Saccharomyces cerevisiae S288C: one gene and its partners. The gene in region 1 interacts genetically with each later gene. Each region holds a gene or a part of one and is shown in the gene's direction. Other genes may lie near its edges. The genes, in order: CTK1, CLN3, HOS2 and MSS4.

What was found.
Region 2: mutations in CTK1 (region 1) and CLN3 together harm fitness more than expected from each alone (negative genetic interaction), as found in Saccharomyces cerevisiae (3 studies listed by BioGRID).
Region 3: mutations in CTK1 (region 1) and HOS2 together harm fitness more than expected from each alone (negative genetic interaction), as found in Saccharomyces cerevisiae (4 studies listed by BioGRID, with this or other methods).
Region 4: mutations in CTK1 (region 1) and MSS4 together harm fitness less than expected from each alone (positive genetic interaction), as found in Saccharomyces cerevisiae (2 studies listed by BioGRID).

What each region holds. Positions count from the first base shown.
Region 1 is NC_001143.9:181,165-185,044, forward strand, and holds CTK1 (cyclin-dependent serine/threonine protein kinase CTK1), read left to right. Parts: upstream 1-1,793; coding exon 1,794-3,380; downstream 3,381-3,880. Other genes in the region: TGL1 (sterol esterase), read left to right, coding at 1-1,261; HSK3 (Hsk3p), read right to left, coding at 3,639-3,848. UniProt on the Saccharomyces cerevisiae protein: Catalytic subunit of the CTDK-I complex, which hyperphosphorylates the C-terminal heptapeptide repeat domain (CTD) of the largest RNA polymerase II subunit.
Region 2 is NC_001133.9:65,259-69,555, reverse strand, and holds CLN3 (cyclin CLN3), read left to right. Parts: upstream 1-2,035; coding exon 2,036-3,778; downstream 3,779-4,297. Other genes in the region: holocytochrome c synthase CYC3, read left to right, coding at 31-840; Rho family guanine nucleotide exchange factor CDC24, read right to left, coding at 4,152-4,297. UniProt on the Saccharomyces cerevisiae protein: Essential for the control of the cell cycle at the G1/S (start) transition. CLN3 may be an upstream activator of the G1 cyclins which directly catalyze start.
Region 3 is NC_001139.9:139,851-143,794, reverse strand, and holds HOS2 (histone deacetylase HOS2), read left to right. Parts: upstream 1-2,068; coding exon 2,069-3,427; downstream 3,428-3,944. Other genes in the region: IME4 (mRNA (N6-adenosine)-methyltransferase), read right to left, coding at 1-1,549; YGL193C (uncharacterized protein), read left to right, coding at 1,568-1,879; YGL194C-A (uncharacterized protein), read left to right, coding at 3,834-3,944.
Region 4 is NC_001136.10:866,561-871,128, forward strand, and holds MSS4 (1-phosphatidylinositol-4-phosphate 5-kinase), read left to right. Parts: upstream 1-1,663; coding exon 1,664-4,003; downstream 4,004-4,568. Other genes in the region: DNA-binding transcriptional regulator UME6, read right to left, coding at 1-962; YDR209C (uncharacterized protein), read right to left, coding at 4,476-4,568; cysteine-rich palmitoylated domain-containing protein CPP2, read left to right, coding at 4,514-4,568.

The sequences.
Region 1 (3,880 bases):
AAACTTACCGTTTGTATTGCATGATTTAGGTTACGACGTCTGGATGGGAAATAATAGAGGTAATAAATATTCAACTGCCCACTTGAACAAACCACCAAAATCGAACAAGTTTTGGGATTTTTCTATCGACGAATTTGCGTTCTTTGACATTCCAAACTCAATTGAATTCATCTTAGATATAACAAAAGTGGACAAGGTCATCTGCATCGGATTCTCTCAAGGCTCTGCTCAAATGTTTGCTGCATTTTCGTTGAGTGAAAAATTGAATCGAAAAGTCTCCCATTTTATAGCCATAGCACCCGCTATGACTCCAAAGGGGTTGCACAACAGAATTGTCGATACCTTGGCCAAATCATCGCCCGGCTTTATGTATCTTTTCTTTGGTAGGAAAATTGTGTTACCTTCAGCTGTCATTTGGCAAAGAACTTTACATCCAACACTTTTCAATTTGTGTATCGATATCGCAAACAAGATACTGTTCAATTGGAAGTCGTTTAACATTCTACCGAGACAAAAGATTGCTTCTTACGCAAAACTTTATTCAACGACCAGTGTAAAATCCATTGTTCACTGGTTCCAAATATTAAGATCTCAGAAATTTCAAATGTTTGAAGAGTCTGATAACATGCTAAATTCCTTAACTAGGCCTTACCAAATTGCTAATTTTCCTACTAGAACAAATATCAAGATTCCCATTCTTTTAATTTATGGTGGCATAGATTCTTTAGTTGATATTGATGTGATGAAAAAAAATCTACCCTTCAACTCCGTCTTTGATGTTAAAGTTGACAATTATGAACACCTGGATTTGATTTGGGGCAAAGATGCCGATACCTTGGTCATTGCTAAAGTCTTGAGGTTTATTGAATTTTTTAACCCTGGTAATGTTTCAGTGAAGACTAACCAGTTACTACCATCAGCAAGTCTGGTTGAGGAATTACCAAGCACGACATGGAAGACAACTCATCCAACGCATGGTCTCAGTTATAGAACTCACTCGGCAGACCGTTCTCCGTTGTCTGTACAAGCTGATGAAGCGGATGAGGTCCACAATGCTGACAATTCAAGGTTCTTAAGACGAGTGTTTTCTACTAGTGCCATAGACGAGGACAACGAAAATGAGCACCAGGATGATACAGAAGATCAAATCCATAAGGAGCAGCAAAGACGGTTAAGTGCCTATCTGGAATCATCCAAAGATTTACGACAACTAGATGCCAACTCTTCGACAACTGCGCTGGATGCTCTAAATAAAGAATGAAAAGAATGCGAGAGAAACCCTATTAAACTATTTTTTGTCTAGGATAATAATATTAGCGCTAATCTAAAAATCGATGAACTAAAGAAAGAATATACGTACGTTTTATACACAATAAATGGATTTCATAAGAAGTCCTTAATATCCTCATGCTTGTGGATACTGGAAATTAGTAAAGTAATTAACTTCCTTTTAGCATTATTCTTATTTGGCTTAAAAAGGTCACGTGAAGCTCTATTTTTTTCGTTTTTTTTTTTCACTGATGGAAGAGAAAAACCTCTACATAATAAGGTAACTTTACATATTGATTGCCAATGAGATGTTAAAAAATGGACGGTTCAGACAGTAAAATACATTTAGAAAAAAAGAGAAGGTCTTATCAGTGTATTTATTCACTGTGCATATTAGCTTTTTTTGGACTTTTTTTGTTCCATTAGTACTTTTAAAAAACCTATTTGTAAATAAAACTAATTCTAGCACTATTCTTTGCACTAGAATAACACAGGGACCATACAGCATAAATTATTTGGTAACAATGTCCTACAATAATGGCAATACTTATTCAAAGAGTTATAGCAGAAATAATAAGAGACCCTTGTTCGGAAAGAGGTCGCCAAATCCTCAGTCCCTAGCGAGACCACCGCCACCAAAGAGAATACGGACTGATAGTGGTTACCAGTCGAATATGGACAATATATCTTCTCATAGGGTAAATTCAAATGACCAACCAGGCCACACGAAAAGTCGTGGTAACAATAATTTATCTCGCTATAACGATACATCCTTTCAAACAAGTTCCAGATATCAAGGTTCAAGATACAACAATAATAATACGTCGTATGAAAATAGGCCTAAAAGCATAAAAAGGGATGAAACAAAGGCTGAATTCCTGTCTCATTTGCCAAAGGGGCCCAAATCTGTTGAGAAATCAAGATATAATAATTCATCCAATACTAGTAATGATATAAAAAATGGCTATCATGCTTCAAAATACTATAACCACAAAGGCCAGGAAGGGCGGTCTGTCATAGCTAAGAAAGTTCCAGTTTCGGTTCTAACGCAGCAAAGGAGCACGTCAGTTTACCTAAGGATAATGCAAGTCGGAGAAGGAACATATGGTAAAGTTTACAAGGCAAAAAACACGAATACAGAGAAGTTAGTAGCGCTGAAAAAATTGAGATTACAAGGAGAGAGGGAAGGCTTTCCCATAACCTCTATACGAGAGATTAAACTACTACAAAGTTTTGATCATCCAAATGTCTCTACTATAAAAGAAATAATGGTCGAATCTCAAAAAACTGTATATATGATATTTGAATATGCTGACAACGACTTAAGTGGATTACTATTAAATAAGGAAGTCCAAATTTCTCACTCACAATGCAAACATCTCTTCAAACAATTGCTATTAGGAATGGAATATTTACATGATAATAAGATTTTACACCGTGATGTTAAAGGCTCAAACATCTTAATCGATAACCAGGGGAATCTAAAAATAACAGATTTTGGACTAGCGAGGAAAATGAATTCGCGAGCTGATTACACTAACCGTGTCATTACGTTGTGGTACAGACCACCAGAACTATTGTTGGGAACTACAAATTATGGAACAGAAGTTGACATGTGGGGTTGTGGCTGCCTCCTGGTGGAATTATTCAATAAAACTGCAATTTTCCAGGGCTCTAATGAATTAGAGCAAATAGAATCAATTTTCAAGATTATGGGAACTCCTACAATAAATAGCTGGCCAACGCTTTACGATATGCCGTGGTTTTTTATGATTATGCCACAGCAAACTACCAAGTATGTCAACAATTTTTCTGAGAAATTTAAAAGCGTTTTACCATCTTCAAAATGTCTGCAATTGGCGATTAATTTGTTATGTTATGATCAGACGAAAAGGTTTAGTGCAACCGAAGCTTTACAAAGCGACTATTTCAAGGAAGAACCAAAGCCTGAACCTTTAGTTCTTGATGGATTGGTAAGTTGCCACGAATATGAAGTCAAATTGGCAAGAAAACAAAAGCGTCCTAACATACTATCCACCAACACAAACAATAAGGGTAATGGTAATAGTAATAATAATAATAATAATAATAATGACGATGATGATAAATAAGGATATATAGCCAATTGAAATAAGTAGACACAAAAAATAGATTAATAACTTATTTATTACGCGATACCCGTAAATATGATACGAACATCTAATTTCATGTGAAGCGGCCTAGTGAATAGAAGGTTTGCCTATTTTCACTCGTTCACTATACGTAACTTGGTTGTCTTTTTATGCAAGCTGTTTGTCCATCGTACCAACACCATCTCATTTCACATCTTATAAATTAGCCTGGCCACTAACTGTCTTACCTCTTATGCCTTATTGCGTTTTTCCAAGCATCTGCTCCATATAATAAATGTAACTACCTATCAACCAACTTCCATGTACCTTACCCAATTGGCCTACCAAGTTTTCGTTACATTGTTTCGACATGATATCTAGTTGTTTTGTCGTTTCCTGTAAATTCGTTTGAAGCTCTCTAAGTTCGTGTGCAAGCTGATTATACTGCCTTTGTTTGTTAGCGTTCATTCTCTTGCCTGAAATTCTTTGTGTCCTCTTCG
Region 2 (4,297 bases), on another chromosome or scaffold:
GCAGAGCAAATACAACAGAAACTACAAAAAATGGGTTGGTTTTGGGCAGATCAAAAAACTACGGGCAAAGATATTGGTGGGGCAGCAGTATCATCCATGTCAGGGTGCCCAGTCATGCACGAGTCGTCGTCGTCGTCGCCACCATCCTCTGAGTGCCCCGTTATGCAGGGAGATAACGATAGAATAAACCCGCTGAACAATATGCCGGAGTTGGCAGCATCCAAACAGCCTGGCCAAAAGATGGACTTGCCCGTTGATCGGACCATCTCCAGCATCCCCAAGAGTCCAGACAGTAACGAGTTCTGGGAGTATCCTTCTCCACAACAGATGTACAATGCTATGGTTAGAAAGGGCAAGATTGGCGGTAGCGGCGAAGTCGCCGAAGATGCAGTGGAGTCCATGGTGCAGGTCCACAACTTTCTAAATGAAGGGTGCTGGCAGGAAGTGCTCGAATGGGAAAAACCGCACACAGATGAAAGCCACGTGCAGCCTAAGTTGCTGAAATTCATGGGGAAACCGGGCGTATTGAGCCCTCGTGCTCGCTGGATGCACCTGTGCGGCCTACTGTTTCCGTCCCATTTTAGCCAAGAACTACCATTCGACAGGCACGACTGGATTGTACTCCGAGGCGAGCGCAAAGCGGAACAACAACCTCCAACCTTCAAGGAAGTTAGATACGTCTTGGATTTCTACGGAGGGCCCGACGACGAAAACGGAATGCCTACTTTCCACGTGGATGTCCGTCCTGCCCTAGATAGTCTAGACAATGCTAAGGACCGGATGACCCGTTTCTTGGACCGGATGATCTCGGGTCCGTCCTCTTCGTCCTCCGCCCCTTAAATGATATACAGCCAGCGTAAGTACGTGTAAATAGCCAAGTAAGAAATAATGATGTCCTAGTGCAGCCACAATCAATTTCACTTTTTCATATATATTTTTCCACCTTATTATCACAAGGTGCACCTTTATCGTGTGCCACGGCGGTAAAAAACTACCTTCAGGGGTACGATACATTCTGTGCTGGCGACCACGGGGCTGACAGAGACACCCGTAGAGGCTACATTACTGATTTGGGAAATTTCCCAAATTGGAAATATCACCTCGTCGACGTGCTGCGGTGCATGGCTGTTTTACCCGTTTAGGAAAAAACTCGGCGGGTTTTCTTGACGGGCAAATGTCGCCATTCGTCTCGTTTGAACGCTTGGCCTGTAAAACAGCTAACTCATTCACTATCTCTATCCTGCGACCGTGATGATACCGAAAGTATGCTGATACAGATCGGTCCCTCATATCGCGATAGGGCTTTCTGAGCTCTCCTCCCCCTTCTTCCCTCCCCAGCCAAAGAGGCCGGTTTTCCTTCTGGGGAAGTGTCGCAACCAAACGCTGTGCTCAAACCCTAAATTGTGAACTTTCAAGAAAAAAAAAAAGAAAAAGTGAAAAATTATCAGGCAAGAAAAAGAAATTACCAAGCCTGCTCTCACTGTAATGATCAAGTTACATAAATTTACTATCGGATTAGTGTGTCCCTCTGCCACATTTCCATATTTGGCCTTGGGTTTTTGCCCTCATCTTTTTTTTTTCTTCCTCCTACCTATTTATAATTTGTATATCTGTACTTTCCTCGAGCTTTTAATCTTCTTCTTAAACATTTTCTTGTGTAGTATACTTTCACACAATTTCTTTCTTGATTTTTTCTTCTACTACTGAGTCTGCCAGTCAAATGGATTTCTGAGGAAAGAGGACTATACCCATTAGGAAACGAATTGCCCGAGTAGTCTCCTCTGCCGACTTAAACCAACCTTTTTCTATTTCTCTTTTCTTTTCTCCCTCTTTTTTCTCTGTACTAGCATCCAAAAGCAAGCATCCATCCGAGTCCCAGTCGCAATCTCACATCTCCAATTTAACGTATCCATTGCATTTCCTCATTCGGTTTAACTCCTCTGCATTTCTTTTCTGACCCATAGCATTTCTTACATTCCATTGCATCTCCCTTTTACTCTCGTTCAAGACACTGATTTGATACGCTTTCTGTACGATGGCCATATTGAAGGATACCATAATTAGATACGCTAATGCAAGGTATGCTACCGCTAGTGGCACTTCCACCGCCACTGCCGCCTCTGTCAGCGCTGCCTCATGTCCTAATTTGCCCTTGCTCTTGCAAAAGAGGCGGGCCATTGCTAGTGCAAAGTCTAAAAACCCTAATCTCGTTAAAAGAGAATTGCAAGCACATCACTCAGCGATCAGCGAATACAATAATGATCAATTGGACCACTATTTCCGTCTTTCCCACACAGAAAGGCCGCTGTACAACCTGACTAACTTCAACTCTCAGCCACAAGTTAATCCGAAGATGCGTTTCTTGATCTTTGACTTCATCATGTACTGTCACACAAGACTCAATCTATCGACCTCGACTTTGTTCCTTACTTTCACTATCTTGGACAAGTATTCCTCGCGGTTCATTATCAAGAGTTACAACTACCAGCTCTTGTCCTTGACCGCGCTTTGGATTTCGTCCAAATTTTGGGACTCCAAGAATAGAATGGCCACTTTGAAAGTCTTGCAAAACTTGTGTTGCAATCAATATTCTATAAAGCAATTCACGACTATGGAAATGCATCTTTTCAAATCACTCGATTGGTCCATCTGTCAGTCGGCAACATTCGACTCCTACATCGACATCTTCTTGTTCCAATCTACGTCCCCGTTATCGCCTGGCGTTGTCCTTTCTGCCCCTTTGGAAGCTTTCATTCAACAGAAACTGGCCTTATTAAATAACGCTGCTGGTACTGCTATTAATAAATCGTCCTCTTCTCAAGGCCCCTCTTTGAACATCAACGAGATCAAATTGGGTGCCATTATGTTGTGCGAGTTAGCTTCCTTCAATCTCGAATTATCATTTAAATATGATCGTTCACTAATTGCGCTGGGTGCAATTAACCTCATCAAATTATCTTTGAACTACTATAATTCAAACCTTTGGGAAAATATCAATCTGGCTTTGGAGGAAAACTGCCAAGACCTAGATATTAAATTGTCAGAAATCTCTAATACTTTATTGGATATAGCAATGGACCAAAATTCTTTCCCCTCCAGTTTCAAATCAAAATATTTGAATAGCAATAAGACATCTTTAGCAAAATCTCTCTTAGACGCATTACAAAACTATTGTATTCAATTGAAACTGGAAGAATTCTACCGTTCACAAGAATTGGAAACCATGTACAATACTATCTTTGCTCAGTCCTTTGACAGCGATTCATTGACTTGTGTTTACTCAAATGCTACTACTCCAAAGAGCGCTACGGTTTCATCTGCGGCCACAGACTATTTCTCGGATCACACTCATTTAAGAAGGTTGACCAAAGATAGCATTTCTCCACCATTTGCCTTCACTCCAACCTCATCTTCATCCTCTCCATCTCCATTCAATTCCCCTTACAAGACTTCAAGTTCAATGACGACCCCAGACTCTGCATCACACCATTCACATTCAGGTTCGTTCTCTTCTACCCAAAATTCTTTTAAAAGGTCACTGAGCATCCCACAAAATTCAAGCATCTTTTGGCCAAGCCCACTAACTCCCACCACCCCATCTCTAATGTCAAATAGAAAATTATTACAAAATTTATCTGTGCGTTCAAAAAGATTATTTCCTGTTAGACCCATGGCCACTGCTCACCCATGCTCTGCCCCCACCCAACTGAAAAAGAGATCAACTTCCTCTGTGGATTGTGATTTTAATGATAGTAGCAACCTCAAGAAAACTCGCTGAAACGACAAAAAAAAAATGCATTTAACAACAAATAAATTAAAATTTGCAAAGCAAATACGTTAACATACATTAATGATCTTTTTTTCTTTTTGTTTTCACAGGACTCATTATTTCTTTAAATATACTTATATTACATTTGCATAGAATTACAAAAAAAAAAAAATTATAAAAACGCACAACCTAAAATACGATTACTATCGTTTTTTCTCCTTACTTCCTCTAGTCACATTATACATTTTTTTTCATCCTTCACAGACGTATCTTAATACTAAGTGTGGATCAATATAATGGGTATAGCTTGAACATCTGCCCCTCTCTATCTAATGTTTTTTTCTTGAATTATTTAGTATTTGCTGTATACTAGTTTTATTTATCAATACAGACGAATGTTCAAGAATTTCTCATTGTTTTCCGCCAACATTTCTTTAGCAACATTCCAATCTTCATCGCTACCTAACACAACAAAATCCCCATCTTCGTCCTGATATTTGATCTTGGTGATTGGTGAAATGTTGTTAT
Region 3 (3,944 bases), on another chromosome or scaffold:
TCTCGACATCCATTTCGTAAATGCAATTTCCTGTCAACTGGTTTCCGATGGTAAACCAGCCAGGCCGCGTATTGTGATCCCTTCCGAATATCTCTAGTTTTCTGGCATGGGTGCCTGCCAACCGTTCTGCTATACCATACAGTTCATCAGGCTTTCTACTAGTCTCTCTGGTCATTGATACGATCAAATCGACGTCAATATGTTTGTTGATCCACTTTGGATTACCCTTTAAGCCCACCAATAAATGCTCCTTAGAATGATTTAACCAATGACCCGTACGACCTGTAACAATTGTTCTACCCAGTTGGTTTGTCTTTATCCATGAAACTTCATTTATCACGTTGTAACCCCAGTTATTCAAAGACTCTTTACCCAATTCTATAGCTCTACCCGTCACCCAAAGAAAAATAATACCTTCATCTTGTAGTTCGTGCAAAGGCAAACCTAATAGTTCAATATCGTTGCAAGTACCGTATGGTAGGTTCATATGGATATTCCATGCAGGATCTGCAATAACTACCGAAAACTTTCCAAGAACCCTAAAATCAAATTTCCGCACATCGCAACGGATCCACTGTGCAGGTAAAGCCTTTTTGATACAATGTGCGGAGCAATTGCCCAGAGTATAAAATGGAATGGAAACGTTTGACCGTATTCTTTTATTTTCACTCGCAGTTTCACGATCAGCTCGCTCTTGCAAGCATGACGGAATATATTGCAGGTAATGAATGTATCGACACGTATTTAATTTATGACAGGTATCCAAATAGGAACAATCTCCTAACGAAATATCAGTTTGTGGTTTGATATTAGGGATAAAGTGAATTTTTGATTGAATGCACTCAATTAATCCTGGGTGATTTTCCTGACATGCGGATATTTTGGACCATTGTAAAGAAACGATTTTGTTATTGACAATGTACACCGAGGTGGACAATAGAGATGCATGCGAATAGTCACTACATATCGGGATGTATTCAATGACCTCGGTCGTGTATTTGGCTCTTTCTTTAGCAAGCTGAAAAGATGATGGTTTTTCCCTCAATAAATTTTGTAAGCGATTGCTCAGTTGTTCACGTGGTAACCCCTGGTTGCTGACGTTAACGTCCCAGTTCAGGACTCCAAGCAGTCTACCCAGCAGTTGGTCTTTTTCCGAATCAGCTTCCGGTTTTGTTGTTAAACTCGACACTTTTTCTTCACATGAAGAACTGGACGATTTTAATGTATAGTAGAAGGCATGGAACTTGTTATAGAGAATTTTCAAGGAAAAAACGTCCAGGTAAACAATTTTTTCTGGCCTATCTGCCACTAATAGATTCTGGTCAAATTGAATGGACTGCGGCGTTGCAAATATAATATCCTGAAGATCATTCCAAAACTGTTCAAACTGTAAGACCTCGTCTTTATCGTTTCTCAACTTCTGCATCTCATCATCGTATCCGCCACTGATGTACAGTGAATACACATCTTTGAGCTGTCCAGAAAGCGGTGCTCTTAGGATGTCATCATAATTCTGGATCAGAAAATGTACTAGTTTATCGTTAATCATAGCCTGCTTACAACTTTTATGAATTCAAGTCTGAATGCCAATTCTTATTTTTTTCGAAAACCCCCAATGCTAACTTATATGGTCCGTTTTCTTTACTGTTATCCATCTCCCTTTCCTATAGCTCCAGCGGTTACCGATCTTCCAGAATGCCGGGGAGATCTTTCTCTTTCTTTGTTTATAACAAGTTTCACAAGCACGAAAGAAAGAACAATACTGTACGCCAAAAGCCGCCTAAAGACGCATATTCCCGTCAATTTATGTGACCGGTACCACTATATACCTAAGGCACCTCTATACCAATGTAGAATGCCCTGTTTATACTCTATATAGAGGATTCTCGATGTTCTTTGGGGCATCGTTAAACGTGATATTCCTACTATGTTACTAAATGTTGAACTGAAAGCATCTTGAAACGATTCTAATCAGTTTTAGGTGTGTCGCCAATGTACAGTTATAGAAAAGACGCCAGATTACTCAAGTACGTTAAAATCAGGTATCAAGTGAATAACAACACGCAACATGTCTGGAACATTTAGTTATGATGTGAAAACAAAGGAGAACGAACCATTATTTGAGTTTAATTCTGCTTATTCTCCCAGGGTATCGTATCATTTTAACTCCAAAGTTTCACATTACCATTATGGTGTTAAGCATCCAATGAAGCCGTTTCGGTTAATGCTAACGGATCACCTAGTTTCCTCTTATGGATTGCACAAGATTATGGACCTTTATGAAACAAGAAGCGCTACCAGAGACGAATTACTACAATTTCACTCGGAAGACTACGTGAATTTTCTCTCGAAGGTTTCACCAGAAAATGCAAACAAACTGCCCAGAGGCACACTTGAAAATTTTAACATTGGAGACGACTGTCCTATTTTTCAAAATTTATATGATTATACAACACTATACACTGGTGCGAGCCTTGACGCCACCAGGAAACTAATCAACAATCAATCGGACATAGCGATAAATTGGTCTGGTGGTCTTCATCATGCAAAAAAGAATAGTCCATCTGGGTTTTGCTATGTAAATGATATTGTGCTTTCTATTTTGAACTTATTACGATATCACCCAAGAATCCTTTATATCGATATCGACTTACATCACGGCGATGGTGTCCAGGAGGCATTTTACACCACAGATAGGGTCTTCACGTTGTCTTTTCATAAATATAATGGCGAATTTTTCCCAGGAACTGGTGATCTGACAGAAATTGGTTGCGACAAAGGAAAACATTTCGCATTAAATGTACCCCTAGAAGATGGCATAGATGACGACTCATATATAAACCTTTTCAAGTCAATTGTAGATCCTCTAATAATGACTTTCAAACCAACACTTATTGTCCAACAATGCGGTGCGGATTCCTTAGGTCATGATCGCTTAGGATGCTTCAATTTAAATATAAAGGCACATGGAGAATGCGTAAAATTTGTCAAATCATTTGGTCTACCAATGCTAGTAGTGGGCGGTGGAGGTTATACACCTAGAAATGTATCACGGCTTTGGACCTACGAGACAGGAATTTTAAATGATGTCTTGCTACCAGAAGACATCCCCGAAGATATCCCATTCCGGGACTCATTCGGGCCGGATTATTCACTTTATCCTATGTTAGATGACTTATACGAAAACAAAAACAGTAAAAAACTACTGGAAGACATTAGAATACGATGTCTAGAAAATATCAGATACTTGCAAGGAGCACCAAGTGTCAGAATGGATGCTGAATGCATACCGACACAAGATATAAGTGCCCTGACAGAAGAAGAGGATAAAATCATTCAAGAAATGAATGAAGAAACAGAAGCAGACAGTTCAAATAGGCTAGAAGAAATGGAAAAAGAAAACAGTGGATTGATTGCCTTTTCATAGTTTAAGAGTTTGCTATTCGGTTAATCTCCCGTTTTTTTTTTTTTTTTTTTTTTTATTTTCCTTTTTTTTTTTTTAATGTTTTTAGCATATTATGTAGAGTGTTAAGGCCTTAAAAGTTATTTGCATCATTGTTAAAAATGACATGTATTGTATAAGAGTTCGGCTCTTCGATGCCGTCAGAAACATTTTTGGAAGGTGCACTCCGTATTCGAGACACTTCTGAAACGGACAAGTCACCAAACTACTCTGAAAACAACAAAAAAAAGCCTTTTCTTATAATTTGAAAGCTTCTCCCGCAGCATTATCGATATCGTGAAACTTCCAAAATCTTTCTTAATTAAACCGGACATCAGTGTCTACAACATTAGAGCAAGTCACTCAGTTCATGTAATACATCTGGACAATTATGTCTAATAAAGAGATAACTTGTATCAAACCGTTTAAAATTATTGCTCTAATTTTATTGATAGTTCTAATAATAAACCTCTCTTATAAGTTATTTCTGAGACGCTATTTA
Region 4 (4,568 bases), on another chromosome or scaffold:
GAGTCGTTAGATGGACTGCCGCCGCGCTTAGTTCCGCCGCGCAAATACCCGCCAATCTCATTGTTATTAGAGGATTCTCTCGAATCTGAGCTTTGTATCGAATTATTGTCGTTGTTGTTGGTACTGTTGTTTCTGCTCAGTATCGACATAGGCGAATTGGTAGTCTTACCGTTGTTCTTGTTGGCGCTGGTAATGATGAGCGGCAAATCCGATCCTGTGCGGGAACGGATGCCCGAGCCCGTGCCCGCGCCCGAGCCTGCTGCGGTGGTACCGGGGGAAGAAACCGCTGGAGCTTGTGGTGGCGGCAAATGTATTTTTTTTTTGGCGCCGGCGACGATAGTAGTAGTGGCAGTGTTACTATTAGTGGAGGTGGAGGAGTAAGGGAAAACATCCTCGTTGGTTGCAGTATACTGCGGCTGAATAGCACCGGAAATTTGTGGGTCTGTAGCCTGTGCGACATGGCCATTGCACAATGACTTAGGATCCGAAGGTGTATTGGAAGGCGCGAGTGGGCTGGCGGCAGCATGCACAGCGTTATCGCTGTCACGGCGATCTTGAAGTGTAGTATTGGTCGTAGTAGTAGTATCGTTTTCCTTAGGATCGTCTTTGATATCTCCGCCACTTTGGACTTTCAAACTCGGCGAACCAGACGGAGTATGCACGGGAGTGTTGTTGGGCGCACATGTCGATTTCATAATAGAAAGCAAAGGGTTTTCATCGTAGGTTGTCTTGAGAGATTCGATGCTAGCACTGGAAATTGTAGGATGGCGGGAGTTAGCTCCATCACTAACTTCATCTTCTGCATGTTTTTTGCCGTCTTGGCTGCTATTCATCAGCGTGGCACGAGATGTTTTATTGTGCAAATAGTGATGATTGTTGGCGGTTGTTTCCATCGAAAGCAGAGAGGCAGCCGCATTAGATTCGTCCATGTGTTTGCTTTGAGAGCGCGCCTTGTCTAGCATCGTGAGTTAAGGTCCATGCAAATGGTTTGAGTGCGGTAGTGTCCTAGTTCCTGTGCGCTGTGCGAAGGTGGGCGCTTCTTACGATCACTGGTCTCTTGTCCTTGTCCTCTATGTTCTTTTCATTTTTCTTTTTGACGGCGGCAGTTTCCGCCTGGCATTGGTGAAAAGGCGCCTTGAAGCACGGCGGACGTGTCACCCGGACCGAAACAGAAGAGAAGTAGCGCAGTCTTGGCAATTATAGGATGCCCGAAATCCAACGTGCATTCTATTCTCGTGATTATTCTCGTGATTTCGTGTGCAACCAATGGACTTTAAAAACTGCGCTCTACTACTTGTAGCAATGCATGTTTTGGGCAAGTGGGGTTGAGTGGAGTGTCACCTCAGACGACGTGTCGCTTTTGTATATCCGTTTTTACGGACATAAGAACGTGCCGCCCATTCTGGGAAAACAAAACACAGGTTAAAAAAAAAAAGAAAGGAATGGATGGGGAATGGGACAGAGAGGAAAGATAGAGGTGGAAATAACAAAAGCGTGACAACAAAGAAGCAAATACGGAGGGACAAGCAAAGAAAAAACAAGGACAGAAACAAAAAATAGGAACAAGAAGTAGCACATTCATAAGCAAGAGAGTACGAAACCTGTTTACACCCCCCGAGACAGTTGCCCTATATCGCTTTTCCCTATCAATAGTTTCTAACTCATGTCAGTCTTGCGATCACAACCTCCTTCAGTTGTACCGCTACATCTGACAACATCCACCAGTCGCAAAACAGAACAGGAACCATCGCTATTGCACTCTGCAATAATTGAGCGACATCAAGACCGTTCGGTGCCGAATTCGAATTCGAATCCGGATTCGAACCATCGAATAAAAAAGGATCGCAATAATCACACTAGCTACCATTCTTCATCGAATTCGGAGTCAAACATGGAAAGTCCTCGCTTGTCAGATGGTGAGTCTTCCACTCCGACCTCTATTGAAGAGTTAAACCCAACAATAAATAATTCGAGGCTGGTGAAGAGAAACTACTCAATATCAATTGATCCTTTGCATGACAACAGCAATAATAATACGGATGATGATCATCCAAACACCATAACTTCTCCCCGACCAAATAGCACTAGTAACAAGGAAATGCAGAAATATAGTTTTCCCGAAGGTAAGGAGTCGAAGAAAATAACAACACCCTCGTTAAACTCGAATAATTGTTTGGATTTGGACAATTCCAGTCTTGTTCACACAGATTCGTATATACAAGACTTAAATGACGATCATATTTTACTAAACAAGCGCGTTTCGAGGCGATCTTCCAGAATATCGGCAGTAACAGCAACTTCCACGACAATTAAGCAAAGAAGAAATACTCAGGATTCAAACCTGCCCAATATTCCCTTTCACGCTTCCAAGCATTCTCAAATTCTACCTATGGATGATTCAGATGTAATAAAATTGGCCAATGGAGATACCAGCATGAAACCAAATTCTGCTACTAAAATTAGTCACTCAATGACTTCTTTGCCTCTTCACCCACTTCCACAACCTTCTCAAAAGTCAAAGCAATATCATATGATATCCAAATCAACCACTTCTTTGCCGCCAGAGAATGACCACTACTATCAACACAGTCGTGGCACCAACCATAATCACGCTGCTAATGCTGCTGCTGTTAATAATAATACTACTACTACTACCGCTGCTACGGGTCTGAAAAGATCAGAGTCTGCAACGGCAGAAATTAAGAAGATGAGACAATCTTTGCTGCATAAAAGAGAAATGAAAAGGAAAAGAAAAACATTTTTGGTGGATGACGATCGTGTTTTGATCGGTAATAAAGTCAGTGAAGGCCATGTCAACTTTATTATAGCTTATAACATGCTAACTGGTATTCGTGTCGCAGTGTCACGTTGTTCTGGCATAATGAAACCTTTAACTCCGGCAGACTTTAGATTTACGAAGAAGCTTGCCTTTGATTATCACGGAAATGAATTGACCCCTTCTTCTCAGTATGCATTTAAGTTTAAGGACTACTGTCCCGAAGTCTTTAGGGAACTTCGTGCATTATTCGGCTTAGACCCTGCTGATTATTTGGTTTCGTTAACTTCCAAGTACATTTTGAGTGAGTTGAACTCGCCAGGTAAAAGTGGTTCATTTTTTTATTATTCGAGAGATTACAAATATATTATCAAGACCATACATCATTCTGAGCATATTCATCTGAGAAAGCACATACAAGAATACTATAACCATGTAAGAGACAATCCAAACACTTTGATTTGTCAATTTTATGGTTTGCATAGAGTGAAAATGCCTATATCGTTTCAAAATAAAATTAAGCATCGGAAAATTTACTTCCTAGTCATGAATAACTTATTTCCACCACACTTAGACATTCACATTACTTATGATTTAAAAGGTTCCACATGGGGCCGTTTTACCAATTTGGATAAAGAAAGGTTGGCGAAAGATAGATCATATAGGCCTGTGATGAAAGATTTAAATTGGCTTGAAGAAGGTCAGAAAATTAAATTCGGTCCATTGAAGAAGAAGACTTTTTTGACACAGCTGAAAAAAGATGTGGAATTGCTTGCTAAATTGAATACAATGGACTATTCCTTGTTAATTGGCATTCATGACATCAATAAAGCTAAAGAAGACGACTTACAATTGGCGGATACGGCATCTATTGAGGAGCAACCACAGACTCAAGGACCCATAAGAACCGGTACCGGAACGGTAGTACGACATTTTTTTAGAGAGTTTGAAGGTGGAATTCGAGCATCTGATCAATTCAACAATGATGTGGATTTGATTTATTACGTGGGGATAATCGATTTCTTGACTAATTACTCAGTTATGAAGAAATTAGAAACGTTTTGGAGAAGTCTACGCCATGATACCAAGTTGGTGAGTGCCATACCTCCAAGAGACTACGCCAATAGGTTTTACGAATTCATAGAAGATTCTGTAGATCCTCTGCCCCAGAAAAAAACTCAATCGTCGTATAGAGACGACCCTAACCAGAAAAATTATAAAGACTGAGTAGGGCACAGGTAAATAACCTATCGTCTATGTACTCAGTCTAATCTACTTTGATTTAATTTAATTCAAGTTATATAAATCTATTCTTTTCCCTTTAATTTTAATATTTTAATTTCAATCCTTTTCTTATTTTCTATTTTTGCTTTTTTTTTTTCTTTTTTCCATATTCTCAGGCCACGTCAGGCTTGCATAAGCCACGCTAGCTAATAATTCAGCGAGACCCTATTCCAAACCTAATTGTTCGGAACCATGCCATATCTCTTCCGCAGTGTGTGGCTAAGCGGCTTTAAGAGGATACGAAATGTCAAAAAACGAGAAAATTCGATTATATCTGTACGAACTTTTCTTTGCGCTTACTGCCTGTTTACTTTGCTTTGCCTTCTACTGTTTTTTTTTGCTCGAGGCCGATGGTGAACTGCAACGTTATATAAACTAAAGTGCCAGAATAAAAATAAAGAAAGGCAAAGGGAGACTATCCGTCTTCGAAACAAGTCAAAAGAGCGAAAACTAATGAGCCAACAACAAGGTTACTACCAACAAGGACCCCCACAGCAAGGTTATTATC